Mytilus edulis: one gene and its partners. The protein of the gene in region 1 binds, or shares a complex with, the protein of each later gene. Links are inferred from orthologs where the notes say so. Each region holds a gene or a part of one and is shown in the gene's direction. Other genes may lie near its edges.

What was found.
Region 2: mediator of RNA polymerase II transcription subunit 23-like (region 1) and mediator of RNA polymerase II transcription subunit 19-like share a complex: the UniProt entries of both Drosophila melanogaster proteins name them as parts of the mediator complex. The link is inferred for Mytilus edulis from reciprocal best matches to the Drosophila melanogaster genes MED23 and MED19.
Region 3: mediator of RNA polymerase II transcription subunit 23-like (region 1) and mediator of RNA polymerase II transcription subunit 16-like share a complex: the UniProt entries of both Drosophila melanogaster proteins name them as parts of the mediator complex. The link is inferred for Mytilus edulis from reciprocal best matches to the Drosophila melanogaster genes MED23 and MED16.
Region 4: mediator of RNA polymerase II transcription subunit 23-like (region 1) and mediator of RNA polymerase II transcription subunit 18-like share a complex: the UniProt entries of both Drosophila melanogaster proteins name them as parts of the mediator complex. The link is inferred for Mytilus edulis from reciprocal best matches to the Drosophila melanogaster genes MED23 and MED18.

The regions. Positions count from the first base shown.
Region 1 is NC_092344.1:94,866,838-94,874,436, forward strand, and holds the start of mediator of RNA polymerase II transcription subunit 23-like, read left to right. Parts: upstream 1-4,588; 5' UTR 4,589-4,700; coding exon 4,701-4,754; intron 4,755-7,599. UniProt on the Drosophila melanogaster protein: Component of the Mediator complex, a coactivator involved in the regulated transcription of nearly all RNA polymerase II-dependent genes.
Region 2 is NC_092349.1:32,000,303-32,007,791, forward strand, and holds the start of mediator of RNA polymerase II transcription subunit 19-like, read left to right. Parts: upstream 1-4,467; 5' UTR 4,468-4,972; coding exon 4,973-5,177; intron 5,178-7,489. UniProt on the Drosophila melanogaster protein: Component of the Mediator complex, a coactivator involved in the regulated transcription of nearly all RNA polymerase II-dependent genes.
Region 3 is NC_092351.1:6,236,231-6,243,686, forward strand, and holds the start of mediator of RNA polymerase II transcription subunit 16-like, read left to right. Parts: upstream 1-4,440; 5' UTR 4,441-4,564; coding exon 4,565-4,695; intron 4,696-7,456. UniProt on the Drosophila melanogaster protein: Component of the Mediator complex, a coactivator involved in the regulated transcription of nearly all RNA polymerase II-dependent genes.
Region 4 is NC_092350.1:56,520,289-56,527,293, forward strand, and holds the start of mediator of RNA polymerase II transcription subunit 18-like, read left to right. Parts: upstream 1-3,992; 5' UTR 3,993-4,095; intron 4,096-4,808; exon of another isoform or gene 4,809-5,012; intron 5,013-5,292; exon of another isoform or gene 5,293-5,448; 5' UTR 5,449-5,470; coding exon 5,471-5,648; intron 5,649-6,636; coding exon 6,637-6,703; intron 6,704-7,005. UniProt on the Drosophila melanogaster protein: Component of the Mediator complex, a coactivator involved in the regulated transcription of nearly all RNA polymerase II-dependent genes.

The DNA.
Region 1 (7,599 bases):
CGTGTTTATATTGTATTTATATATATAAAGTCTATACCTTTCTGTTTACATCGTTCACATCGTAAACATCGCGATGTTGATAATATTGTATCAACATCGTGTTTATATTGTATATATATATATATAAAGTCTATACCTTTCTGTTTACATCGTTCGCATCGTATACATCGCGATGTTGACAATATTTTGTCAACATCGTGTATATATAGAGTCTATACCTTTCTGTTTACATCGTTCACATCGTATACATCGCGATGTTGACAATATTGTGTCAACATCGTGTTTATATTGTATATATAAAGTCTATACCTTTCTGTTTACATCGTTCACATCGTATACAACGTAATGTTAACAATATAGTGTCAACATCTTGTTGTTGTAATATATACATTTTTTTTCGTTCTTTTTTTTAAAATAAGTTAACATGGTTAAGCAGTTAGTTATATAGTTAAAATTGTTTTCCATTTTTCATGTCTTTTATTGTTAACTATGCCATATAAACTTTGCTCAATGTTAAAGGCCATACGGTTATCTATAGATGTGCCAGTTAGTATGTATGTACTGAAAATTTTACTTATTTGCAATCATACCACTTCTTTTTTTATAAATACCTTTCTGTTTAAATTGTTCACATAACAATGCTAACAATATTGTGTCAAAATCGTGTTTATATTTTATATTGAGTCTATGGTACGTATATAAACGTTAAACAAACTGCATTTGTTTGCACCTGTCCTTAGTCAGGAATCTGTCGTTCAGTAGTTGTCGTTTGTTGAATTGTTCATACGTGTTTCTGGTTTCATGTTTTTTTTACATTAGACCTTTATTTTTCCTGTTCAAATAGTTTTACACTAGTGTTTTGTTGTGCCTTTCATAGCTTGCTACTCGATAAAAACCAAAACTCCGTATTAATGTCAAACCTATAGGGGTATACTTATAAAAGATGTAACTTAAATAAAAAGTTGTCTCATTTGAACTTATACCGCATCTTCTTATATGTATACATCGCTATAATAACGATGTCAACGATGTAAACAATATATAAAAGTTCAAACAATGTTAACAAAGTTGACTAGATATCGGTTTAATATTGTGTACATCGCGATGTTAACGATGTCAACGATGTAAACAATATATAAGAGTTTAAACAATGTCAACGATGTTCACACGACATCGTTTTAACCTTGTAAACATCACGATGTTAACGATGTCAACGATGTAAACAATATATAAAAGTTCAAACAATGTCAACAATGTTGACACGACATCGTGTTTACATTGTATACATCGCAATATTAACGATGTCAACGATGTAAACAATATATAAGGGATCAAACAATGTAAACGATGTTGACACGACATCGTGTTAACATTGTAAACATCGCGATGTTAACGATGTCAACGATGTAAACAATATATAAGAGTTCAAACAATGTCAACGTTGTTGATACGACATCGTGTTTACATTGTATACATCGCAATGTTAACGATGTCAACGATGTAAACAATATATAAGGGTTCAAACAATGTAAACGATGTTAACACAACATCATTTTGACATTGTATACATCACGATGTCAACGATGTATACATTATATAAGGGTTCAAACAATATAAACATTGTTGACACTATATCGTGTTAACATTGTAGATATCGCGATGTCGACAATATTGAATAAACATCCTTCACTGGACATGAATGGGAGTGATGCGCATTGAGGAGTGTATGATGCTAATTAAATGATTCACACACAAAAAACGGAATGACTCATATAAATCCAATATTTGCTATACCTATTAAATTTGCATATAATCTAAAAATGAGTGGAATGATATCGTAGCATGACAAGACAAGACACATACTTTATTAAATTTTCACCACTTGTTACATATAAAATATACAGCTTTTTAAAACACAAATTAACAACAAGAGCCACTCTATAAAGAGTTATGAGAGACTATATATAAAACAATTTTTCATTAATTATAATACAAATACAGCTTAAGTCAACTATCATGATATAAAATACATTTACGCTTTATTAAAATTTCATAGCAGATTTTGGCAGTATAAAATACCATATTTTCATTTGTAAAAAGAAATATATTTGTTTCATTATCAGACATATGTAAAAAAAAATCTCATCAACAATACTAGCATGGTTAAAAATAACATTACGAATATATGAATATGCAGAACAATATAACAAAACATGTTAATTTCATCTTTAATTTTCATCTTCAACGTCATCATTACAGTTAAAAACATAATCTATTTTCAATATCAATATTTTCATAACGACCAGTTTCAATTCTGAAGGGTGCTACACCACATCTAAATTTTGCTAAAGCACTCCTGTATCTACCTGGATTATTAAAAATTAAATAATTTTCTACGCCATATACATTTTTGAAAATTCTATATGTACGTAACTTATTTTTATCATCTGACATAATCTTGTCATACCATTCTTCCTTAAATTTTTCAAAACATACATTTTCAATATTCTTTAATAATTTAATTTTGGATGTAACGCGTCTTCTGATTGGCTGACGTTATTTTGTTATCAGCCCATAGACATAATTCAGTCATGTGACCGTGACGTCATCAACGTTTTTTCATGGTTTTCTATGGAATTTAAAATTAAATTATAAGAAATGACTGTAATATTTTTTCTGTCTATTCGAAATAACATAAAAAATGTGGTGCACACTGTTATATAACCCGCTTTGCGCGTTATTCAGTGTGCACCAATCTTTTTATGTTATTTCTTCATAGACAGAAAAAATATTACAGTCATTCCTTAAATTATAAGACACGGTGAATGTTTGTTTTAAATTACACTTGTTATAAATAAAGTTTTAACTTTACCATATATTTGCAGTAAAACAATCGAAACAAGAAACAGTATGTACATTCCGATGGTTTTATGGGAAAATCTGTATGTGGTCTTTTAACATGTCATTTTAATATTTAAACATCAAATGAATTGAAATTGACCAGAAAGTATTTATTTGTATAAAAAGATACTAAAAGTGATTGGTTTTACACTGTGATTTAATTCTTTTATTTGGAATAATAGGATAAAAGATGAAATCAAAATGACTGCTATTAATCTATAATTATTTAACTTTGACGTCAGAAATGTAATTATTAAGTAGGTGTAAATCTATTTTATTATAAATACAAAAAAAAATATTTATCCCAGTTGTACCAAGGAATGGGATAATCCATTCTTTCTTTAAGAAAATTTATGATTTTCATATTTGACAAACTGAGCTCAGATTTCTTAGTGTTTCTAAAAAAAATGAATAGAAAAGAAAAGACAACATTTTTTTTATCAAATCTGACTACGGTTTTGTAAAGTTCAATTCTATTAATAAGGAATGACTGTAATATTTTTTCTGTCTATGAAGAAATAACATAAAAAGATTGGTGCACACTGAATAACGCACAAAGCGGGTTATATAACAGTGTGCAACACATTTTTTATGTTATTTCGAATAGACAGAAAAAATATTACAGTCATTTCTTATAATTTATAATTATCACAAGCGTAGTATAAAACTATATCATTAAGACCGTAGTTTATCGGCAGAAATGTGGTTGTTCTCTAGTATCTTGTGTTGTTAAGCTTTGCATGAATATTTAGTTAGCTCTGTTCTGTCTTGTTCTCTTTATTTTATGACGATATTTGGGTATTTGCTTTGCAGTATGTCAATCATTTTATTTATTTTTTTTGTTCATTTTTTTCTGTTTGGCTTTTATTTGTGTGTATGCGTTTTATTCTTGGCTTGCTTGTATGATTTGTATGTGTTTTTTTTTTGTAAAGTACAAAAATAAGCCTTGAACTGAGATGTGGTATAATTACCTATTCGACAACTCTTCACCAAAGATCACCAAACACTAGGTGACATACGTTTACAACATAATAGATCCCTATACGGACTTCAACAATGAGAAAACCCTTTACATAGTCAGCTGTAAGAAGCCCCGAAATGTTAAACAAATCAAAGTGACACGAGAAAACTAACGACTTGGTTTAAGTATTAAACAAACAGTAAACTAACTACAAATATGATAAAGACAGCAACAAACGACAACCACTGTATTACAAGCTCTTGGCTAGGGACAGACACTTTTATTGAATTTGGCGGGGTTAAATTATTGGCGGACGCCCCACCGTGAATCAGTGTGTTGGTTTGCGAATGATCATCAAATACTTAGTTCATTTGAGCTCATCAGTGTAAAAATAAGATAAACTGATTACTCACTTACGTTTGGTTTTTTTTGGGGGGGGCAGCTTGAAAACAGTCCTGTGACTCATTTTTTTTTATTTTCTTTATGCACATTATTAGAAATCTCTTTTAAAAAGGTTATATCGCTCATTTTTGTTGTCTCTCTATCCCGGATGACAGACATATTTTTCGAGTTTTAAAGGGAACCCTAAGATCCATATTTTTTAATATTTAAAAAAAAACCGGATATAATATTCAATACATCTTTGAAAATTCTTCAAAAAATCTATCGATTTTAATTTAGAAAACCTCTGTACCTTAAACGGATTTTTCTCGTTCTCCCTCGGACGTTGCTTTTTACTTTAGAATTGTAGAAAATGGCGGCGTCCATGGAGGAAAATACAAAATTGTTTTCTTTTTCTTTTATAATCTAATGTAAATTGTTTTCAGGAAACAAGAAAATGTCACAAAGAACCATAGAAGATGTCGTTTTTGACGTATTCAATGATATACTAGTAAGTTAAATATACAGAGTGTGGCCATAAGTATTCGCTTCTTGAGATGTTTTCACAGAAAACTAAATTTTTGGGGTAAATTTGTTACTTGATTTTAAGTAACTTGGTACCATTAGAAGCAGAATTGACACATGTTAATTTATGGTAGATTAGCCTTCCTTATATGATGTAAAGGCAGGCTTATTTTTAAACTGGTTATTGCTATTTTGTAATATAATACAAAAATGTACATCAATATACATAATTTGTACATGTTAAGGTTCATGTGGACCCTATTGCTAAAATGGCCATATTTTCACCTCAAAATTTTCTCAGAGTACAGGCAAACCTGTGCATCTGGAAAAGTTTTAAGGCATAGCATGCCCTAGATAAATAGAATTCAAATGCATTGTATGATTTAGAAAATTCATAACTTAACTGGATTTTTGCGGTACACTTTTTTTCGTCTCTGCAGAAGATGATAAAATTAACAATCAGTTGAGTTTACTTTGATATGGTCCACTCAGGTACACAGTTTAAATAACCAATTATTGTCAGGTATCTATTGTCCATCTAATGTCCATGTCAATTAAAAATACTCACTTTAATTTTTACCTGTGGGGAAGTTCTCAAACCTGTTTCCCAACTTAGTTTATTTTGGCACCTTCTGGAGGAATGAAAAAAAGTGCACAGCAAAATCCTCGGTACCTCGAATGACCGAATAACACTGTTATTGTCCGAATAACACATGTAATGACCGAATAACTCTTCAAATATCAATATTAACACATTTGAGTGACTTTTAAACATATATTATTGAATAAAATTATATAAGAAGTGTATTTTATAACCTAAAAATGATTTACAAGTTGCAGGTAAGTTAATATTGATCACCAAAATTTATGGATATTGGTGTGTACTTCCAAGATGGCGACCAAGGAAATCGTATAGAATGAATAAAAGAAAGATTGCATATGCCTTCAAAGGAAAACGCTATGAAAATATAGTATTAAATATTTTACTGTATATACATTTATGTACAGAGAATTGTCTAATGATTGTTTTTCAGAAAGGATTTGAAAATTTAACCAGTACATCAAAGCAATGCAATTACTCCAATCACTAATTACTTTTCATAACAATTTACTCAACATTAAATAAAATGTAATTAAGAATTTTCACATATTCAATTCAAATTTAATTAAAAAATTATTATACTTGATTGTTTTTAATAAAAACAAAGCTTCTGAATGGATGATTCGTATGTTTGTTCTAATAAAATTTTCTCAAAACTAAATTAAAGATTTTCATTGGCAAATATAAATGTTTTTACAAGTAACTATAATTTTGTATAAAAAACCATGAAGACATTTGTGCTGTGCATATCGTTGGTAGTGAGTCCAATGGATATATCTTAAATATCAAAGTTCTGTTATATTGTTAATTCGGTTGTTGTTTACTGACACGTGCCCATTACATAATTAATCATTAAGAGATAATGAAATTATATTACGGTATGGACACTCTGCATTAAACAGGCTTGTGACTGTCTTGGTTTACCAAGGCTGCATTACCAACACCAACAGTGTTTTCCATTCAGCATTTAAGCCGGGTGTGCCGACCACCTTTCCATTTTAGGAGGTGGTCGGCTTTTTTTTTCAAATTCCGGATTTTTTTCGGTTCCGCACCATAAAAATTTAAATACTAATCGCGCCTCGCAGTTTGTTTTCATTGACAAAAATGGCGGATTGTCAAATTTCAATGTTTTCTTTTATTAATCAGGGGAATAGAAAGGCAGATGACCAGAAAAATTCTAAGCCATATAAGTCAACTAAAACGGATAGTTGAATTGAAATTGTTGAAATTGAAAAAAAAGTATCAAAACAACAGAATCGGCACACAGGTGATCGCGAAGATAAACAGGTTGGGAACAATCCCAAAATGAGGGATATCCCTCAAATGAGGGACTGTCCATCAGGAAAGGGGTCATATTACTGTGGAAGAAACTCGGAAGAAAAGAAAAAGAAAAACTTAGATTTATTACCTTAAAAGGGGGGAAATCGTTTTATTTGGTACAACTTTTCTACAAGAGTGTCCATAATGAGATAAAAAGGCCCAAAACAAATATGTGCTCATTTGTTTCTCTTTAAATGTACCCCTCATAAAAGGGATAGTCATTAAATTGAGAGATTACCCCTCATTTGAGGGGTGGTGATAAATATGAACAGGACTTTCAATGGATATCGTCACAGAAAGATATTACTGTTCTGTGTGCCAAAACAGCACCAAAGCAAGGAACAGGACAGAAACTTGGTTCGATAGGCCATGCATTAGCAGATTTCGTAGGAGGAGGGAGTCCTGCAAAAGCAATTATGAACTGCTATCCGAAATGCACAAAACTATTTTGTCAAATCATTTAATGAAAGGCTGGCAGTGATAGCAGAAGAATGGTTCAATTCCATTAAATGTAAATACAATATTTATCATTCTATTTGTGACCCGAACCCACAGTAAAACTGAAAAAAATCAACCCGGTTGAAAATGTTAAAAAAATCAACCGGTTGCAAGTGTTTTTTTTCAAAACACCCACCTTACCTTAGTGAAAAAAGGAGAACACTGACCAATAATTATAAAAATGAAAAAAAGAACACAAATAAATATTTACAACTATATACAATATGTACATCCTATGTTAGCTTTCTGTGAAAGGGTAATAATGTTCAATGTTTCACCAATAATTTTTGATTATTTAAAATAAAATTATTTAAAATTATTAAAAAAAAAAAAGTATTTAAAGTTGATTTGAGTTTTCCTGTTAAAAAAAGCTTTCTTCTGGCAAATTAGGGGCTTGGTTAACATCCATTTC
Region 2 (7,489 bases), on another chromosome or scaffold:
TGACGATTGTCACTTTGTATGAACTGATTTACTAGCCAGTGGCTTACAGAAAAACACAAAGTATGTAGAACACTTTGATAAAATCATGAAAGAATCAAAAACTGGTCACACGTTTTTTTTTATTGGGAAGAGTTTCTTGATCTAGTGGATTGATTCATTTTCAAATTAGGGGTAACAGTTTTAACAAATGATATTACCCAGTCATTTACCATAATGATTTTAGCATTAATCCATAAATCGAAGATATTATTTTATTTTTATGTCTTGCTATGAACATTTAATTTATAACTAGTATTTCAATTAATTTAAAGAAATGGACGCTAATCATACTGCAATATGTTGCAATAGATTTCATTTTGTTTAATGGTGGCAGCTGTTATTACATTGTGAAATTATTCTTAGGGAAATACATATCCAGTATTGTTTCGTCATGAATGGATTTAATATTGTATAGAAATTCGATATCGATACTGCAGAGTACTGGGGGCGTTTTCTTGATATATCGATGAAATTATTCAAGAGTGCAATGTGTTTAGGTACAATGTGTCGAGGCTGTGACATTTATGTCGCCAACAAGAGATAATAGCCAATCGGGATTTGTGGTCGGCGGTGGCGATGGCTCTGTCAATAAAAGAAATAACCACAGATTGAACCTTTCTCGTCAACGTTTAGGTTTAATCTGTGATTATTTCGTTTATATAATTAAAAAAAATTGAACAGATTATGATAAGCTTTTTTAGCTATTCCATATCCAAATTAACATTTGGAAATCTGTTATCTTAATTTTAAAGCCAACAAAACATATAAAGTGAGATTTTAAAGTTTTTTTACACTTCAATTACAGTGTCAAACCTTCATATAATGTTATGAACATTTAGCAGAGGCTTTCTTTATGATGATGAGATAAACTTTTTAAATTGTGGTATTTTTTCTTAATTTCAGTATGTTTCAAATTTTAGATAGACTCAGTTTTAAGATTAACAATAAAAAAATATAAAAATATTGTTTTAAATATTTTATTTTATTGATAAATTGACTCACTTTTTGCGGTCACCATTGCACATTTACACCGACAGCAGTAATACTTGAGTGAGATAACTACATACTGTTTCGTGGAATGCGTTCATATTTGAACAATTTTCGCCTAGAATTTCTTGCGAAATATCAATCGACTCAAGAAAGAAAATGATTTTTTTTTATGCGCACGATATAGGATGTTTGAGTTTATTTGTTGATAAATGATCATTTAACCAAATTTGCGAGGAGAACACGAATATTTCGCACACTCTTTGTTCAATATCTAGTCTGCCTGTGTTTTATGGAAGCTACTTATTTGAATAATGTATGTTTATTCTAATCTTCAAAGAATTGATATATATTTCAACGGTAGCATTACAAATATGAAAATGTTTGTCTCGCTTTAAGATTAAATGTCTACACTGTCGAATCTAGAAAACAAGTGGCAGATTCAGGGGAGAGTTCCTTGGGAAAACCTCTGTTGCCCCCCCTCCAAATCCTAGATTAGGAAACTTCCCTTTTAAAAATGGCTGAACACTTCAGAATTTTTTTCTGATTTGTATCAGCTAATCCTCAACAGCAACTGTCTATTGAAAAAAAACGGTACAGTCTTAATATTTTCCGAATGCAAATTGGACACAGTAAGAGTATATTATTTAAAAAAAAACATAATTTACAAAAATTTTGATAACCCTTTTCAATTTACAATTGAACACCCTTTTCAATTTACAATTGAACTTGACAATCTATGTATATTTTGAGTTAATATTTTTAATCAAGAATAAATTGTCCATATTTACTAACTAAACATCAAGCAAATCTGAAAATCGCGGAATGATATGTAGTAACAGCCGTAAGCTCGAAATATAGTGTTTGCGAAAAAAGTAATAGAAAATGATTTTAAATTAAAAAAAATATGTTGGAATTAAATTGAATTAAAAAATTATATAAAAGGAAAAGATTAATTGATTAAAAAAACAAATGTTCAAAATGTTAATGAAACAAAATTAGAAAAATGTATGACGGAATATTCAAAAGTAATTACAATTTCCAAATCTTTCTATTTACATTTATAATGTATCTTGCTGTATTCATATTCGGAACGTATTTAGATATACAAAATATAACCATACTGAGAGTTTTACAAAAAACATATTGAGAAAGTTGTATTGCATCCCCCCTTTTTCTCTCACATAACAAAACAATAATTGTTGTTTGATATTAATTATACCTGACTTTTTGCATTACTGGTTATTTAATAAATTCAAGCAAATAACAAATACCATTGGTAAATTTGTTCAAAAATATATTTCAATCAACATACCGGCATCACTTTTTTATGTAAAACATTTAACTTTCTCATACATTAAGATGAATAAAAAAATACCATACCTTGCATAAAAACAAACATTTGTGACGAATACCGATTTGACTGTCCGCACTTCTGGTCGTACTTGGAAATTCAACCCCTATTCCGTGTGACTAAGTTGTCTTTTTCTAATTGATTTCAAAGTAAAGTGCGACTACGTGGCACGCGACATCATCCGAACTTCTGTCGCTGAAGCACACCTGGTGAGGAAAAATTGGGAAAATTATTTTATTTATTCATATTTCTCGCTGAAATTACCTTGTTTATGACGGATTACAGTTTGATCTATTGATTTAATAAAGCCTGAATGGAGCCTCTATGAAATGTGAAACAGCTGTCCCATAGCCGATACACATCAAACACTTCGATCACCGTAAAATTAATTTTTCTATCGATTCTTAATATTTCTGTATATTTATTATATAAGCATTTCCGAACTAATTTTTAAAGAACTGCCAATTAGGGTGGCCATCCTTTTTAAACCTTTTATATATACATGTAATACTAGTATAGTATGTACATGATGTAGATGGGAGAAGCATACATATAAACGTAACATAGCAATGTATGCATTTTGCCGTGATCCATTGTCAATGAAAGGGTGTAGTTGTAAAAAAAATGTTAAAGAATATAAAACAGAACAGAAGGAAAGGCTTTAAATACATTAAATGCAATTGTCTAAATACGCTCCCTCCCCTTTTTTGTGGGATTTTTTTTGTTGATTTTATAGGGAATCCCTGAGCATGACTGGAGCGACCCCCTCTTTGGCAGTCAGTGAGTCCCACTTATGAAAAATTCTGAAACCGCCAAGTGCACTGTACTATCAAACCATTTGAAATAACTGTCCAAAGATAAAAAAAAAAAAAAAATCATTACTGAAAGGGTAATTGAGTTTGGATTAATTGCTTTTGAATTTCTTTCCCTCAATGATATGCTTAGAGAAAGACGAAATGAGGAAGATTCTATATTACCTAAATTTGAAATGTTCAAAAAATAGAAAATACGTTTCTCTATCCAAACTTTTACTACCCCATTCCCACAAATTTCTTTTTATCTACTATATTAATTTGTAAGACACGTCCATCTAAATGAAGACGGATTGATCTCCAGCTAATCCCCCGTTTAAATAATAATTTGAAACAACAAACTTAAATATGATCCTCATTAAATTTGACCCAAAAATAGTCACTTTATAGGAATAGATATTTAAAAAGACGTTCTAAATTCCATTTAGTCTAAAACTAATCCAAATCAGATTTCTGTTATTCGAATATTCTTAGATACATCTTTTTTGGCAGAAATTACCAAACATTAACAATCTTTCTGACTTTAAAACACAGATATAAGATTTACGCTGTCACGTGTATATAAAATATGATGGAATATTTTATGTCCCAGCTGACGGATATAAAAAAAAGAAAAGAAATGAGGAACCTTTATTTGTTTCCTATTTTGAAACTACGTACAAGTATGTCTGAGTTAGTTTACAATGCACACCTTTGCTGTGCATTATCCAGATTATAGCACAGTAAGAACAAAGAGATTTTACCAATGTCATCATGTGTTAACTTATAGATATAATAGATTTTAATAAACAAATACTATAGATATATAAAAATAGACGATTATTGTCAAAACAATTTAATATGATAAAGTGTTTTATATTATTTTTCTGTAAAATATGTGTAATATGATGTTTAGTAATCAAATTAAATCAATCGAAATTCTTTAATCCAAAATGTAAAAATTATATATGATTTTATCAGTAACAAATAAGAGCATATATATATCAATAAATATCTCAAAATTCAAACGATATCAAAACATGCATCACACGACCATGATGACGTTATCTAACATTTAATATATGCAGTGGCGGCTCCAGAAATTTTCATAAGTGGGGGCCCACTGCATGACTACTTAAGAGGGGACCCGCAGTCCGGTCATGCTTCAGTGATTCCCTATATAATCAACCCAAATTCCCCCCGCGGTCCCCTCTAAAGCCAGCCAAATAGGTTTATGATGCAAATATATATAATGTGCATCATAAGCCTATTTGACTGGCTCAAGGAAGTTATAGTGAGTCTTACTATACAAACACGTAAGTGGCTGGCTGATTTGTATTTTGTATTTTTACACACGTATTTATTTATTTGTTTATTCAGGTTGCACTATGATGAATGATTCTTCTCTTCTATATAGAAATGATTTATAAATTAATCGCTGAGATTTTATATATACACACAGCATATTGATATTTGTCCTGAGTTACTGTGACTGTCTAGCTATTTGAAGTATCCTTCCAGTCAGCTACAGGTGGTATTTGAAGAAGAAAAAAATGTGTAACGTTAATCATAATGTATGTGTATGTGATTTTTTTTAATGTTAAACATTGTACTTGTTTTATGGAGAGGGCCTAAAGCCTTTGCTTGATGTCTAATCTAATTTTTTTAATAAAAGTCTGTGTTAATTATATTTTCCGTATATTTGATGACATGTGCGTCTCCGTTAATCACCTGAATTAGACACAGTTTTTCTGACCAATCAAAATCGAGATTGCATTGAACAGATCAAACATGGTGGACAATGAATGAGGCAATTCGAAGACCAGAGCAAGTGTCCCCTAAATCCAGTCCCCGGGGGTCAAGATCACCTGCATACCCCCGAGGAGATTCGACTGGAACTCTGAAGACAACAATAAGCTTAGGGAGAGTTCCTTCAGTAATACATTCAGGTCCATTTTATCTCGTCAAAGACACGGGAACTGGAACACACAACACACATAGCAATGGTAAGACATTCTTACCTGAAACAATTGTCCTGTATAATTTAGGAGAAGTATTTACTGTCCTGACATTGTCGTGTTTGTAAGTCCAAATAATTATGACCCTCTTACATTGTCTTATCCTGTTTACATCATTTGTACATCAAATGCCCAAACAAAAACCCAAACAAACGTAATGGAATAGTCTTTCAACAGGCCTCGACAATAACGATTGTCCGGTACCAGAGGGAAAAAAGGTCGGATAAGTAAAAGCTGTATCAAGATTGTCCGTTGGGACAAGTTCAATTATTCTGCAGAAAATAAATTTACCTCAACTTTGATGAACAAAGTAATCATGGTAATTATAAACAAAAAAAAGAAAACAATTATTAATTTGACATGTTTCTGTATTCTGTTTATTCAAATGCAAAACCGTTTTCTTCAATATGTTTACTTGCAATAGATAATTTTTAACTGGTTCTTTGTAAGGTAGTTTTAAAAGGTAAAAGGTATAACATTCTCGGAAACCAGTCTTACTGATCGAATCAATAGTGCTTGACACCTCAAAGATTCAGCTTCAAGTTTAATAGACAGTTTGGCACCTAGGAGACATATTTAGTTGACATGATTGATAGACAGTCTGACAAGGCAGGAGACATTTTGGGACCTAGACAAATCAGTACCTCATTTTGCTACCTTATTCTGTTCCTTATAATAAATACCATTAGATAATTTTTTCACAGTGCTCTTTCAAAACAGGACAATTTGTCTGCGCTCATTTTGTACTTGTCAGACATTCTTACCTGTATACATGTACACTTATATATAAACGTTTTTTTCTACATTTTCTTGTGCCTTGCTAGCTTGCTAGGACCAACGACCTTTCTGAGTCCAGATAATCTATTTTTTTTCAACATTCAATACATTCTAGATCTACTTTCATTCAATGCAAGTTTGCAATTGACATTTAAATATTTCAACCCAGGGCTCACACTACTTCAGAATTATAGGGAGAAGTGACTTCTCTTTTTGAAACTGATAGGGAGAAGTGGTGAGATTTGAAAGAGAAGTGCTCATTCGCGCGGTGCGCTACAATGTTTGGATTTTACAATAGTATAAAGGGCCATATGTAGATAATGTTCTTTTTATGTTGTTCAATTCATATGAGTAAAAAATTACAATTAAAGTAACATTTGAAATAAAAGTTGTTTAAGTTTTACTAATGTTCTTGTGAGAAACTAACCAACTAAATATCTAGCACTAAAAAAAAATTATTTTAAAAAATGTAAAGAAATTATAATATATCAATTACAATTTAATTAAAAATTATCTTGTGTATGAAATTCAGTGTTTCTCATAAAAAAATATAAAAGTTATTAAGCTGGGCCATAATATATTGATATTAGTAGAATAGTCTCTAGAGTTAAGCAACTTTAATCAATAGTTTGAAACAATCCATAAAAAATATAGGGAATTATATACACCAATCAATTAGATGTAACCAAAAGTCTCTTATGCGTGTGGAATACGTAATTTTCCCCTTTGGGATCAATATTCTTCTGTCAGCTGTTCAATCCGTGCATCCGTAGTAATTATTGTAAAAGTACGGATTTGGGTCATAGCTGGTCCGGTTCAGATCCGTAGTTTAGAAATCGGTCAATGGCGGACGAATGCAAGAAAATTTACAAAAATAAACGATGTTTGACAAGTTATTTGGAAAGGAACATGACGGTTTTAATGCAATAAATGGATTAAACATTTACTGGATGCAACTTTTATCACGTTTAAATGAAGTAACAAACTTATTTTGCCGCCGAAATTTAGGTTGATGTACGTTTTCGAGCAACAAGTTGCGGGACTTGCGGAAATGCACGAAGTGATAAAAAGTTGTATTTTTATCAAATAACCTGCTCAAAATTGCGAAGACAATGCTTCAACCTCTTTTCTAAAGATAATGAATCGTTTATGTCTGAATTTCTTTAATTATCAGTAAAAAATTGATGTTTCATCAACTTGGTAAAAATTGAAAATGTCCAATGACGGAAGCGACTGAAAGCGACTGTCGTCAAGAACAGGGCGACTTGTTTTCGCTTTTGGGGGTCGGGGAAAGCGAAGTGACGGTCGGGAAGGCGACTTCTTCGCCCAAGTCGCCTGGTAGCGTGAGCCCTGCAACCAATCAATGTTGATTTTTGGTAACTAGGATCTTCTACAATGTACCTTATACGATTAACATGTGATACAATGTATCTAATTATAACCTAATTTGTTATTCATCATTGTTCATATGCAAGAGCTATATATATCTAATTCAATTATCAAATGAGGTATGGCACACATAC
Region 3 (7,456 bases), on another chromosome or scaffold:
TCCATGTGATTAGAAAGATGGCTAAATGATCGAATTTTGAGATTATTACAATTGTTAGATATACTAACTGGGGAACCTCATTTTTTAATATTTGTGTTTTAAAAAATCAGAAAATTGTTTTTAATAATGGTTTTTGTCATAAAATAACATTAATTGCCAGAGGATATGCATTTTCAATTAAATACACATATATGTATTTGTTTATTATAATGCAACCTGAATATATACATGATTATACAATTTACAATACAGATATCAGCCTGCATAGGCTTATGAAGCACTTTATATGTAAATATATGTCCTATAAATAAATTGCATTTATGTTTCAACATATCTGATAGTTTCTGTTAAGATCTAGACCATTCAGTTGCTATCGAAGATGGCATGAGACTCCAGTACTGTCGTACAGTATATATCAATTTTCTTTGAAGCAACTTATTGTATGTACATTAAAGTTTTGTGTACTCCTAAAAAGTATTAATTATACAGTTTTATGGTGGCTATAGTATCTTTGAAACTAGAACAAAAAACATTTTTCCACAAAACTCCTACAAATTCTTATATGATCATCCGAAGAAGACAAATTTAATACAATAAAGAAAGCCTTACGCGATTTAATTTCATCTGAAAGTTAAAGACTGTGATGTCTAAATGCACGCGCTTTCACTCCTTCTCATGAAATCGCAAATAATTAACTATCTGGTGGCAACTCAGACATGGTGGTAAATTAACCCGGGAAGCATCCGCACTTAAAATCAATTACAGCCGTAGTTACACCATCGATAGAACAGAATGTGCATTTATAAATATTGCCTTCCAAAGGAAAAATTTCAACAACAAGAATGGTGAAACTTGACTAACTAAAAGAGCGAATTAACTTGCAACTGATCATGTTGTACAAGGTGGTTGTAGGGGTTGTTGTCGACTTTACATCAACAACTTTCATCGAACAAGAACAACAAGGAGTTTGATCATACCAATGACTTTTCAAGACTGTTGCGTCAAATATCCTTCACAGATGTGTCAAATATATATATATATAAAAAAGAAGATGTGTTATTTTTGCCAATGAGACAATTATGCAATAACAAAAAAACCGTAAAAATTCCGGACAGTAAAACACCACAATAATAATACATTTTCATGTGAATACAATGGAATTAACTCCAGGATTTCATTGTGCATATAGACTCCGTAGAGGCATTCAACCCCGTGGAATAAAGGACGGTATTCTCTCATGCATTTGTATATTGAACTGAATTACTCTAAAACACTTATATCCAATAAAAGATGGAGGTCAACTCGGAAGAAATAAAGCAAAGACTATAAAAGGAGCTATAAACTGAAATATATATCGCCCACTGACTTTTATATCTGGAAATCTCTTAACAAAGGAACTGTGTCATGTAAGTGACTGCCCATTTGTCAACTATAAACAAAAATTATATATAACAATGAACCTTGTAAACAAATTGAAGTGTGTACTAGTAAAGGCAATGTGCAAACCTGTCATTGAATTTCGTGCTTTATCTGTCGAGTGATGCCTCGTAGATAAAATGTCATCCTTTTTTTTTACCTTTTGCTCTTCTTCTTCTTTTGTCTTTTCTCAAAAGCATCCGTAAAGCTACCGCACCAGGAACTGAAAATTTATTAACAAAAAAAACATTCGCAATTTTTAAGAAAACGTACGGGACGTCATGACTATCCTTGACTTGCGGAATCTGGCACTTGTATAAACTTCAATTTATTTGAATATTACATGTGTTTGACGGATAATCAACTACTGTAATATGGATACAAATTGTGTGTATGATGTAGGTACCATATATCACGAAGTTATAGGAATTCCAATGTGAACCAACTATGTACCACTTATATCCATGGCGTTGTCAGTTTTTTTTTTCTATCTATGAGTTTGAATGTCCCTCTGGTATCTTCCATCCCTCTTTTATTGAGAACCTAAATAAAGAATGGGATGCTTTCATAATATTTGCATGTCCTTTTAGGTATTTATTTGCATGAAGATGTGCGATTTTATTTGCCGGATAGACATACAGATCTGATCATAGCTGATGTATCATTGTTATTGTGCGCATATGTATACCTGCAGAAAAAGATAAAAAAAGACATACCCGTTACTTACTTATTAGAGGAAAAACCTTAATTTATCATAATTGAAATCTGTTAATACAACTTCAAAAACAAAACAAAATGAAAAAATAAAATGAATGTGTAAATGTTTGACCATCATCATATCTATTAATATAAACGAGGGGATGTGAAATAAGACTAACAACTATGATCTAAAAAGTATGTACATTTTGGTTTCTCATTGATTAAAAAGTTTCAAATTAGAAGAAACTTTATTCGGTTATGTATTTCTTCACATAATAGAAATGGGTAGATAGCAAGATACCCCACCCCCTACACAGCAGAATATTGATATATGAACTGCCAATCGGTTGAAGATGTGGTCCATCTCCTTTTCCGTACCTCAAAAATTAAATGTATATGGAATTGCAAACAGTTATGTTTGAAATATTGAAATAAAACCCGTCAAAACAGCTGCGAATATGATTTGGCTTTGTAGTGTAGAACATATTGTTTATATACAAAATACATACATATATTTTGATTTTTTGCGGCATAAACTTGAATTAAGTCAAACACAAAATAGGCCTTTAAAAATAGGAATGAAAAATGTATTTAGTCTTAGATGCATGATTGTTTTATTAGTTGTTAGTGGCTTTGAACTAGACTATCAGTTATCTGCGAGTACTCTCAGATCTGTTCCTATTGTCTTTTTGTTGTTGGGATGTAAAAGTACCCGGCCATATCCACTTTTTTGTCCATCTGATGAGTTAAGCCTTTTTCAACTGATTTTTATAGTTCATTCTTATGTTGTACTGTTATACCACTGTCCCAGGTTAGGGGAGGGTTGGGATCCCGCTAAAATGTTTAACCCTGCCACATTATGTATGTATGTGCCTGTCCCAATTCAGGAGCCTGTAATTCAGTGGTTGTCGTTTGTTTATGTGTTACATATTTGTTTTTCGTTTATTTATTTTTTTACATAAATAAGGCCGTTAGTTTTTTCGTTTGAATTGTTTTACATTGTCATTTCGGGGCCTTTTATAGCCGCCTATGCGGTATGGGCTTTGCTCATTGTTGAAGGCCGTACGGTGACCTAAAATTGTTAATTTCTGTGTAATTTTGGTCTCTTTTGGACAGTTGTCTCATTGGCAATCATACCACCACATCTTCTTTTTCATATTAAAAAAAAAACATTTTTGTTTTAATTTCTATAGATGAGAATATTCATCCCTTGGTGTCAACTGCATTCTACTTACTTGTGCTGATAAACGGTTTATGCTATTAGTGCAGGTAGGATAAAGTCATTTCCACATATATATTTAGCATGTCAGTCAGTCTGTTTATGATCACATGCATTTGACTGTTAACATGATTAACCTGGGCTAGAAAACTTTGGCCGGCTGTTTTCTGGTCTTTGGAAGGGCTAGTGTCTCTTTGACATATTCCCATTTCCATTCTCAATTTTATTTATACATATCTTTCATATAATCTGTTTCAAACTGAAATTACAAACTTTTTAAAAGACTGTTTTTTAAATTGAAAGTATATAAATAAGAAGCAGAAAAAATGAAGGGTTCGTTTGTTGTTTTGGAGATGTATGCCATCAGAGACAAATAATACATAATCAAAAGTTTGGTAGGAAATAATTCTCTCTGGATTTTGCATACATTTACTATTGGCACCTTTTTTCTTTCAAAAACTATGGAAAAAAAACCGGTTACATATAAGATTTTCAAAATTGGCTTTTAAAACCAGATGTGATAAAATTATGAAAACAAAAGAAGAGGTTAGAGGGCAAATTTTTATTGGCACCACATGGACAAAACTACAGGATTCAGGTCGAATTTCTAAGAAGAAAATATCAAAAACATGAGTAACAACCATACTTGATTTCAAATTATAATGTTATTGACATGTCAAATTTTTATATCGGCCTTCTTGGCCCGGCTCTATTGGATTTAGGAATAAAATATCCATCCTTCCTGCAAGCAACTTACTGTGACTTGTCTGTTTGGCTGACTCGATCATAAAAAAAGATCCTTTACTTTGGGTTTGTCACTGATTTGAAAATAGATATTGCCTAGTAGCAATAGAAAGGGATTAAGGGCAGCCACCCCTCAGTAAATTACTGTTCCTAAACAACAACAAAACATTTTAGATAGAACTTGCAATAGTGAATGTGGAACTACTACAAGACAAGAAAAGACAAGACAAGACTAGCATCCTGGCCCAATATAATACTTTTATTGTAGAGCAGTGGTCCCAGGATAAATGAAAGACGGTAAAAATCTGTCGAGCGTAGATTTTCGAACGCGTTTTTTATAATGGTAACTTATGACTAAATTTAGAACGCACTTGTAAAAGAAAGAAAATGTCTGTGTCTTCAAAGTGCTTGATAAAAGGTGAAATTTGGTTGGATACAAAACATAAATTTTGACATCGACAGGAGGGAATTGAATATTGGAAAAGGATGGAATTAGTTTACACGGTGGACTGTGATGTTCCTTGCGGAGAGAAAGATTGGATATCAGAGAAAAAGACATGCTGTTCTTTATCACCCCAAAACTTTTTGGCTTTTTCGACCGAAATAACTGTGAATAGGTGAGACATATAGACATTTTTCTTTAGGGAGCTACCATTTGATTTTTATGGGGGGCAAGGATGAAATTTGAAAAAAATAGGCAGGACAGGAGTTTTGAGTAAAAAAAAAAAGGCAGGATGAGAAACTTGTTAAAAAAAAAAAGACAGGATGACAATTTGTGTAAAAAAAGTCAGGATAAACTAGTAAAAAAAAGGCAGGACCAAATAGAGTAAAAAATAAAAAGGCAGGACAGAGATTACCACTAAAACAAAAAGCAGGACAAAATTTTTCATCCTAGCCCCTCCCCCCCCCCCCCCCCCCCCCCCATAAAAATCAAATGGTAGCTCCCTTAGAGGTGTTCATTTTACATTTTTCTGCACTGACATTTGAAATAAGAATCTCAACTCAAATCATTCCAAAAAAGATTAAGATATCTTGAAACAAACAAAAAAGTTAACTTTTATATATTTAGTCCTGTCATGCCTTCAAACTTTCATTGCTCAGATATCCACATGCATGGTGTAGCATAAACCTGGTAGGTCTTTTCAACACTGAACACAACCGAACACCACCTAACACAATAAAATACCATCTAACACAAATATGTTGTTTTCATCTTTATCTGACGAGGGTTAATATGTTCAGTGTTCTAGCCAGGATTTGAAAAGGGCAGGGTGCTAGTTTAATAGTCCAAAAAATTATGACATTTGGCAAGGCTAATTTTTTTTTTTTGGACGCCTTCCTACGACGTTGTTATGTTCATAAGACAACACAATTTGCAATGTTTACCGTAGTTGTATGAAGAAAGCGTAACTGACAGGAAGAAGAAAACCCAAATCAATTTGTTTAAAATATCGTTTTACTTGTTCCGTAAAAAATAGCAAATTCAGACGAAATTAGTCTTTAACTGACGCCAGTTATGATACAAAAATATCAAATCCGGCTGCCATTGTTGATCATATTTACTTCTTCTACGTACTGTGTACAATCCTCAAATGAAGGAACACACCCAAATAAAGAAAGATAACTCAATTTTACTTTTTCGTATCATTGAGATACCTACTTTAGACATGTCTACGATATGTCTACATAATTCTGGGTGTAGAATTTATGTGTTTAGGTCTTTTGAGTTATGGGAAGAGTTAAAGAGGGTCTTAGTACATGTAGTAGCAGTATGGGTAGGATGCCTTTTTGACATCTTTTTCTGTATTCTTCACTTTTGATACAGTTTTTCACTGTTCTGTAAATTTAAACAACTTATTTTGTTTTCTTCATTCAATTACACATTTTCTATTCTTTATTTTTTAATTTAAAGACATTTTATCTATTCTGTAGCATATATACAGACCAGGGTTTCCCCTGGGTCAATTATTTTTTTCGCCACCTCTTTCGCCAAAACAATATATTTTTCGCCACTTTATTATTTTTTTCGCCAAGTAACATAAATATATTTTTCCTGTTGTGCCCTTTTGTACTAAGAAGTAATTTTTACAACAAAACAAAAGCTTTTATCACATGAAATTGATCTCTCATTTCATGTGTAGTCATTACATTGAAGGGTAACTCTCATTCGAGGGGTTGTTCCCAGCCTTTTGGATAGATTTTTTCATAACAACAGTTTTCTTTTCTTGACCATCGTAAATGAAAAAGTTGAGACGTACAACTATGCTTGAAACACGTGCATGTGTCACTCAAACGACTTTATTAAAGTCAAAGGATAAAAGAATTAAAGTTTTAAATCGGAGATTTTTCTTGCTTTTGTCACAACAACAGCTTTCTTTTCAAAACTATCTTTAAAGGGAGAGATGTCAAAAGTTTGCTTCAAACACGTGCGTCGCAAAGATGTAAATAAATTCTGTATGTGACATTTATAGCGGAAGCCATTTGACCATATCATTTTGTGAAACAATATAAGCAACACCTTTATTAATTAGTCCTTTGTTGTCCATAGCTATAAAATGCAATCAGCTGATTATTGATTTTCTGTCTAAATCTTTGAGGTCAAGGTGAATTCCGAGTATTGTCTGATCGGGTAAAGTCCGAGAAACTCGAAAAAATGTAAATAAACAAGATGGAGGAAAATAAATCGGTTTATATATTTCTTTCGCCAAATTCTTTCGCAAATGACGAATTTTTATCGCCACAATTATTATTTTTTCGCAAATTGCGAAAATGGCGACCGCCAGCGGAAACCCTGATACAGACCATGAGCTAATTTATACATGTATTCTTCTACATTTAAAATACTGTCAAAAGAAAATAAAGTACACATGTTATTTTGTTGTATATATATAAATTACATAAACAAACAACATTTACTGTACATCAGATTCCTGACTTAGGACAGGCGGGATTAAACGTTTTAATGGTAAAATTTATACCTGTATAGAGGGATAATCCTTCTATAGTTGTCTAGAGGTATATTTTTTAAGACTTGATTTAAAGCAAAATAGGGCAACACATCATTTTCTAGTTATATTGGCTATAATTTTCAGCATTTATTATAATATATGAATCAATTTGCCTTTTCAGAATCTGAAGGACTATGGGTAATCTCATTATTTGTACACCAAAATGAAAATAACTTTACGTCATTGGTTGAATTTCTATTGTTCATCACGTTGTCAACCAATCTCAATATTTTGCTGTATGCTTTTGGAAATATTACCAAGAATGTATTAGATTCTGAAACGGCGAATTATCAATGATTATTGCACTTAACTAAAAATTGGGATGCCCAGTTTTCTGGGCCTGACTTATACACATTAAAGTCAAGTTCAA
Region 4 (7,005 bases), on another chromosome or scaffold:
TATAAGTCAAAATCTACATTTTACCCCTATGTTCTATTTTTAGCCATGGTGGCCATCTTGGTTGGTTGGCCGGATCACGTCACACATTTTTAAAACTAGATACCCCAATAATAATTGTGACCAAGTTTGGTTTAATTTAGCCCAGTAGTTTCAGAGGAGAAGACTTTTGTAAAAGTTAACAACGCCGGACGACGACGACGACGACGGACGACGACGACGACGACGACGACGGATGACGACGACGACGGACGACGGACGCAAAGTGATGAGAAAAGCTCACTTGGCCCTTCGGGCCAGGTGAGCTAAAAAGGGCACAGTCCGCTTGAAAGTCCTTAAATGTAGCAATACGGGGTCATCCGTATTCTAACGGACTTGCTGACTATATTTTCTTATTGTCTCTTTTTAGATCAAATATCGAATTGCTCGAATATAAAATTACACTAATTTTAAATAAACATTTGACAAATTTGGTCTATTCACAAGTATTAATTAAGCTTAATGACATTGACTTTTTAAGTTCTATTTTACTTATTTTTTAGAAAGATTGTAACAACACAAAACAGTCATGATTGAAAAGTTATGAAATAAATTACAGAAATTTACATCATGACACCTAAGTTCATTTTCTATTCTCTTAACCCCGTCCGGACAATCAGAGGTACAAGAAGGTTAAAACCGAGTAAGCCGAAAGCTATAATTGTATACAAATACAAAATTTATTGTTCAGAAATAGATTTTATTAAAACAAATCTTACTTCAATTTCTATATAAAATGAAAACAAGTTATAAATTTCATGAGACCGAGGTACTTTCCTTCACACTTAAAGCCGAATATTTGAAATCTAAGATCTAATGATATTCTTAACAGTTGAAGGGCTATATGACCAAAAAGGACCTATAAAATATAGCCTGGCATGATACTACTTGTAATATTGTTAAACTATCTGGGCCTCTCATAAAGGTTAATAAACGATTACATAACTAGTATGGCTATACATATGCTTTCATTGTAGCACATTGCATGTGATGACAGAGCCCTGCTTCAGTGTGCAGTGTTGTCGTGTTCTTCTTATAGAAATACCAACATATGAATATATAGCAAAAAAAGGTTTTATTCATAGTCTACGGGTGCATCACTCGCACCACCATTTTTAATGTTCATTAGACCTTATATTTGGGTCAAAACTCTAATTTGGAGTTCAACTTCATCAAAAACTACCTTGACCAAAAACTTTAACCAACAAGAATGTGTCGACCCCCAGTACACGGATGCCCCATCCGCACTATCATTTTCTATGTTCAGTGGACCATATAAATGAGAGAAAATCTCTACGTTGGCATTAAAATTAGAAAGACCATATCATAGGGAACATGTGTACTAAGTTTCAAGTTGATTGGACTTCAACTTCATCAAAAACTACCTCGACCAAAAACTTTAACCTGAAAACTTTAACCTGAATCGGGGCAGACAGTCCAACGAACAGACGGACGGACGCACAGAACAGAAAACATAATGCCCATAAATGGGGCATAAAAACTTTTACCTGAAGCGGGACAGACGATCGAAGGAACGCACGGACGGATGCACAACATAATACATCTAAGTGAGGCATACAAAGCATTTGTTTGGGCATGTATCTGTATTTTCCTTATTTTATATCTTCATGAAATGATACTCATGCGCTAATGCATGCAGTAGTTGAACTTCAACTGATGCGTATGTGAATTAAACGGGGAAAAAGGATATATGATATATCCAAATATTTGCACTACCGATATCGATGAAACATGTATGTCCGTGTATATATCCAGATTGATTGATTGATTGTTGGTTGCTTAACGTCCAGTGGCAAATGTTCCATGCATGTTCAAGACGAGAACAACATCATATATATCCAGTGAAAAAGTGTTTACTGTCTGTCCTAAGAGACCAATAGATGACCACATTTTAAGGGTTGCTGATAAAAAAAAAAAAGGACAAATACCTTGCAGCAGAACGAAAGTAGAAATATTATATGTTATTCAGGTCTCAGACAGGGTATATACTGTGACATTCCCGGCTTAGAGTTTATATCCCCTGAGCCGAAGGCGAAGGGGATATAAGCCCTAAGCCGGGAATGTCACAGTATATACCCTTTCTGAGACCTGAATTACACATATATTACGGATTACCCCTGACTTAATGTTATTTTCCAGTGCAGGTATTTGTTGACAACACATATATATTGAAAAACCCAACCTTATATGTTCGGCATACGTGAAGGATTTTTTAATTTTCTGTGAACATAATTTTATCGTGTATGTAATAATTTATAATAACACTTTTAACATCAAATTAAAGTATTAAAAGTGTTAATTGCGTGATTTTGTATCAAAAATGTATTATTGACTGAAGCACGTCATTATTTTCCCTCTGTGAACCTCTGACAGTCTGATAGCTTATGACTACGTCACATAGTAACCGGTGTTATGATGACGTTTTTGAGGTTCCAATTGGGGATAGAAACGTAGTATATACCCCGGCAGTTTCCTGAATATATACTGACATCTCTGAGTTGTTATCCAATCAGAAACCTCGACACATTTGTAATCCGTAATATTATATGTTATTCAGGTCTCAGACAGGGTATATACTGTGACATTCCCGGCTTAGAGTTTATATCCCCTGAGCCGAAGGCGAAGGGGATATAAGCCCTAAGCCGGGAATGTCACAGTATATACCCTTTCTGAGACCTGAATTACACATATATTACGGATTACCCCTGACTTAATGTTATTTTCCAGTGCAGGTATTTGTTGACAACACATATATATTGAAAAACCCAACCTTATATGTTCGGCATACGTGAAGGATTTTTTAATTTTCTGTGAACATAATTTTATCGTGTATGTAATAATTTATAATAACACTTTTAACATCAAATTAAAGTATTAAAAGTGTTAATTGCGTGATTTTGTATCAAAAATGTATTATTGACTGAAGCACGTCATTATTTTCCCTCTGTGAACCTCTGACAGTCTGATAGCTTATGACTACGTCACATAGTAACCGGTGTTATGATGACGTTTTTGAAGTTCCAATTGGGGATAGAAACGTAGTATATACCCCGGCAGTTTCCTGAATATATACTGACATCTCTGAGTTGTTATCCAATCAGAAACCTCGACACATTTGTAATCCGTAATATATATATATACTTTGACAAATTTCACTTTAGTCTAATGTATGTTATAGCAATATTATATATATATATAGGGAAATAAACAAAACGGCAGAATTAAAGATGAAAAAAGAATTAATATAGCAAATATCGAATGAAATCTAAAAATTACCTTTTTAATTTGACATATTCGTTCTCGTGTGGTTTATCAGCTAGAAAGATTAGTATTCATGTGATCGTTTATAAACGGATAAAAAGCGGGAATTTTAAAATTCTGTGTATGCATTTACGAGTACGATAGTTAATTGATAGTGACGTTTTAGATATAAACATAATTATTCTTCGACTTTCTAAATTCCAGTCGCTATAGTTCTTTGCTATATATATTTCAGTATATAATATTAATTTATTTCCTTTATGCAAAAGGTTAACAATACTGGCGTCAATATTTGTATGATTTCGTGAGACTAGAAATCCTTGCGAAGATCTTTTAAGATTTCTAAGCACGGGGGAGGGGGGGGGGGGGGGGGTAGAAACCCAAACCCCCCTAAATCCGCTAGTGGGACAACAAAAATAATGAATAAAAAATAATGGGGTGCTATAATATGAGGTGATAACAAGGCTCCAAAATTAAACAATTCGGTAAAACATATATATATATCTTATTCTTATTCTTATATATATACACTGATTAAAGAAAATAATAATGTCCAGAATTTACTCCCAATTTCAGAGTAGCTATTCGAGTATTAAAATAACCGGCGTACTCCTCACCCCTATCAATAACCTTTGATTCCGTAACCGTTTGTCGTTGAAACCGAACTCGATTTCGTTTTTATATGGTTAGTACAGTTTCCGGTTTCAGTTTTGTTTTTATTTTCAGAAACTGAACAATGTATTTTGGTACAATTGCTTGTAATCGAACATTTTAAGGGTAACTTTAATACTTCAATATCACAAGAGGTTTAATCCTGATATAAATGATAGAGCACAATGTCACTCAAAGCAATAACAGTAGGGAAATAAGAATAAAAGGGCAAAATTATATATGACATCTATAATGATCTACATGTATAATAGCCTATATAAAAACCATTGTTGTAAATATGACATGTATGGATAAGAGTAAGAAGACATTGAATAAAAGAAAATAAATAAGAAAAAATGAAAAGACATTTACAACAAGAAAAAAGAGATAAGAAAATGCATACCTGCCAACTTTTCAAAATGACCATGGGGGTTTTGCATGCAAGATCATGAACATTGATGAAGATGGCTCCTATATCGCAATATATGTAGTCCTACAAAACCTTCAAGGGGGCCTTCAAATTCATTTTAATGTTGGTTTTTGGCTTCTGCATACTTTTACACGCCAATAGCCATTGTAAAATTCATTGTTTTGTTTAAAATTTTGGACAAAATTGCTATTTCAAAATTTACATTTTGGAGCTTCCATGGGGGAAATCCCCCACCAATAGTGACAGTTGGCAGGTATGAAAATGGAGGAACCATGCACCAAGTGAAGTACCTGTGCTCTAAAATTGAATGATAAATCATATGAGGCAGGCTTTATCTTGAACATGTTGAAAGGGGACAAATATTCTGACATTTTTCTAATTGGTCTCATCAAATTTTTGTGAAAGCTTACTAGTCTGAGAAAGGCGTCCCAGAAAAAAAATGAAGAAGCCTTGCCAGACGTCTTATTATTTGGACTAGGGAATTGGACTATAGTGGGTAACGGGTCAGACTGATATACACAAGACAGGAATATCATACATGTACTCTTTGTGCAGCTGTTTCTATTTACATGTAATATGAGGCAGGCATTACCTGTAAATGGGGACGAAGTCTGTATGAATTATTTTTTTTGAACCTTAAATATATTTGTTAAAAAAAAGAAACGGAAATACCGTAACGTTTCCGATTTTGGTTCTGTTGTTAGGTATTTTAGTTGTGACGTTATTTAAGTTATGACGTCATATGCAATGTAAACAAAGAAACGCTATCATCAGGTAATGTTTTTTTCATATCAAGGAATTATCAAAAATGAAATTGGTATTGCGTTCCTTCCTATTTTATACTAGACTGATAAATATATATTTTACTCAAAGTTTCATACAAATGAGACCAGAAAAAGGAAGTACATTGTATATTTCTGCACAGATGCGGGAATTCAAAACATAACATAAAAAAATTGAACGATTTTGAGTTCATTAGTACATATACTCTTTGTGCAGCTGTTTCTATTTCTGAATGTTAAAAGTTAAATTAGTTTTTTTTTCTCCAGAAATGAATAATTGTTGATAAATATGATGGATCCACAATTAGCACAAGCATTAAAGGCAGCACCAACCAATGAATACCTTCTACAAGGAAGCATTTTAGACAGTTCGTTAGAAGTCTTATTGTGTAGACTGAAAGGTCTTTGTGATCATGCTGATTCTCCTGAAGAAAAATTTGTAGATCATGAAATGGTGTATGCCATCAGTAAGTATTCAGTAAAATGACGGTAAATGTTGAATAATTACATTACATGTATGTTTCAATATATGTTACTTTAACTGGCTAACAGCAATCTGGAGTCATTCTGAAATTAACCTGAATTTTAAAATGAAAATCAAAAATGTAACATTTATGAAGACAGGAGCTTTCACAATAACATGCACATATAAATAAAAGAAAGTCTTGTTTTCATGATTCTAGAATTTTCTAGCAAAAGAATTTAATTATTAATATTGAATGCTTCTTTAAATAAGTTTATAGGGTTGTTGAAGTGTTGACTGTGCACATTTTTAGAATGAAGTGCTTCTGTGGCTCAAAGAAAATGTACCCCGGCCAACACTTTTACATCCATATAAATTTACAAAAAAAACATGTCATTCTTAATTGAATATTAGTTAAACTAAGTATAGTTTTACTAATAACAGTACTTAATGAGGAAGTAATAGTTATCTATTTGATACACTTGAGCAATATGCATGTTTATAATAACATAAAAAGAAGAAATTATGCTTGATTTATTTTTTTTAAACATTTTAATATAATATAAAAAAGAAGATGTGGTTTTATTGACAATGAGACATCTCTCCACAAGAGACTAAATGACAAAGAAATTAACCATTTAGGTTGTTGTACTGCCCTTAACACTGAGCAAAGCCCATACCCAATAGTCAGCTATTGAAGGCCTCAAAATTACAAACGTAAAAAAAATTCAAACAAGAAAACTAACAGCATGAACAGCCTAATTAATGAACAAAGAAAAGAATGAAAAACAGATAAAGTAAATTTTTAGATAAGCCCATCTGTGTGTTTTGTAAACCTAATACTATACTCTGAAATTGGTAAAAATTAATGCTGTGACTTGAATGGAGAGTTGTCTCATTGGCACTTATACCCCATCTTCTTATATCTTTTAACTGTAATCATCAAGTCTTGTTTTGCTTTAATCTTTTCTTTTTATTATATTTCAAATCAGAGAATGCCAGCATTCCTCAGCCATTACAATATAGTGTCAGACATTCCCTGGTTCAACCAGAAAACTGGTAAGTCCCTGTCCAGTACTCATTGTGTTGTTGGCGGTATGTTTTTTCTACATGAGGTATAGGGGGAGGTTGAGATTTCAAAAAACAAGTTTAACCCAGCTGCAATTTTGTGCTTGTCCTGAGTCAGGAGCCTTTGTTAGTCTTATATGAATTTTAATTTTAGTTTCTTGTGTATAGTTTGGAGTTTAGTATGACTTCCATTATCACTGAACTTGTATACATATTTGTTTAGGGGCAAGCTGAAGGACGCCTCTGGATGCGGGAGTTTCACTCTATATTGAAGACCCTTTGGTGGCCTTTGG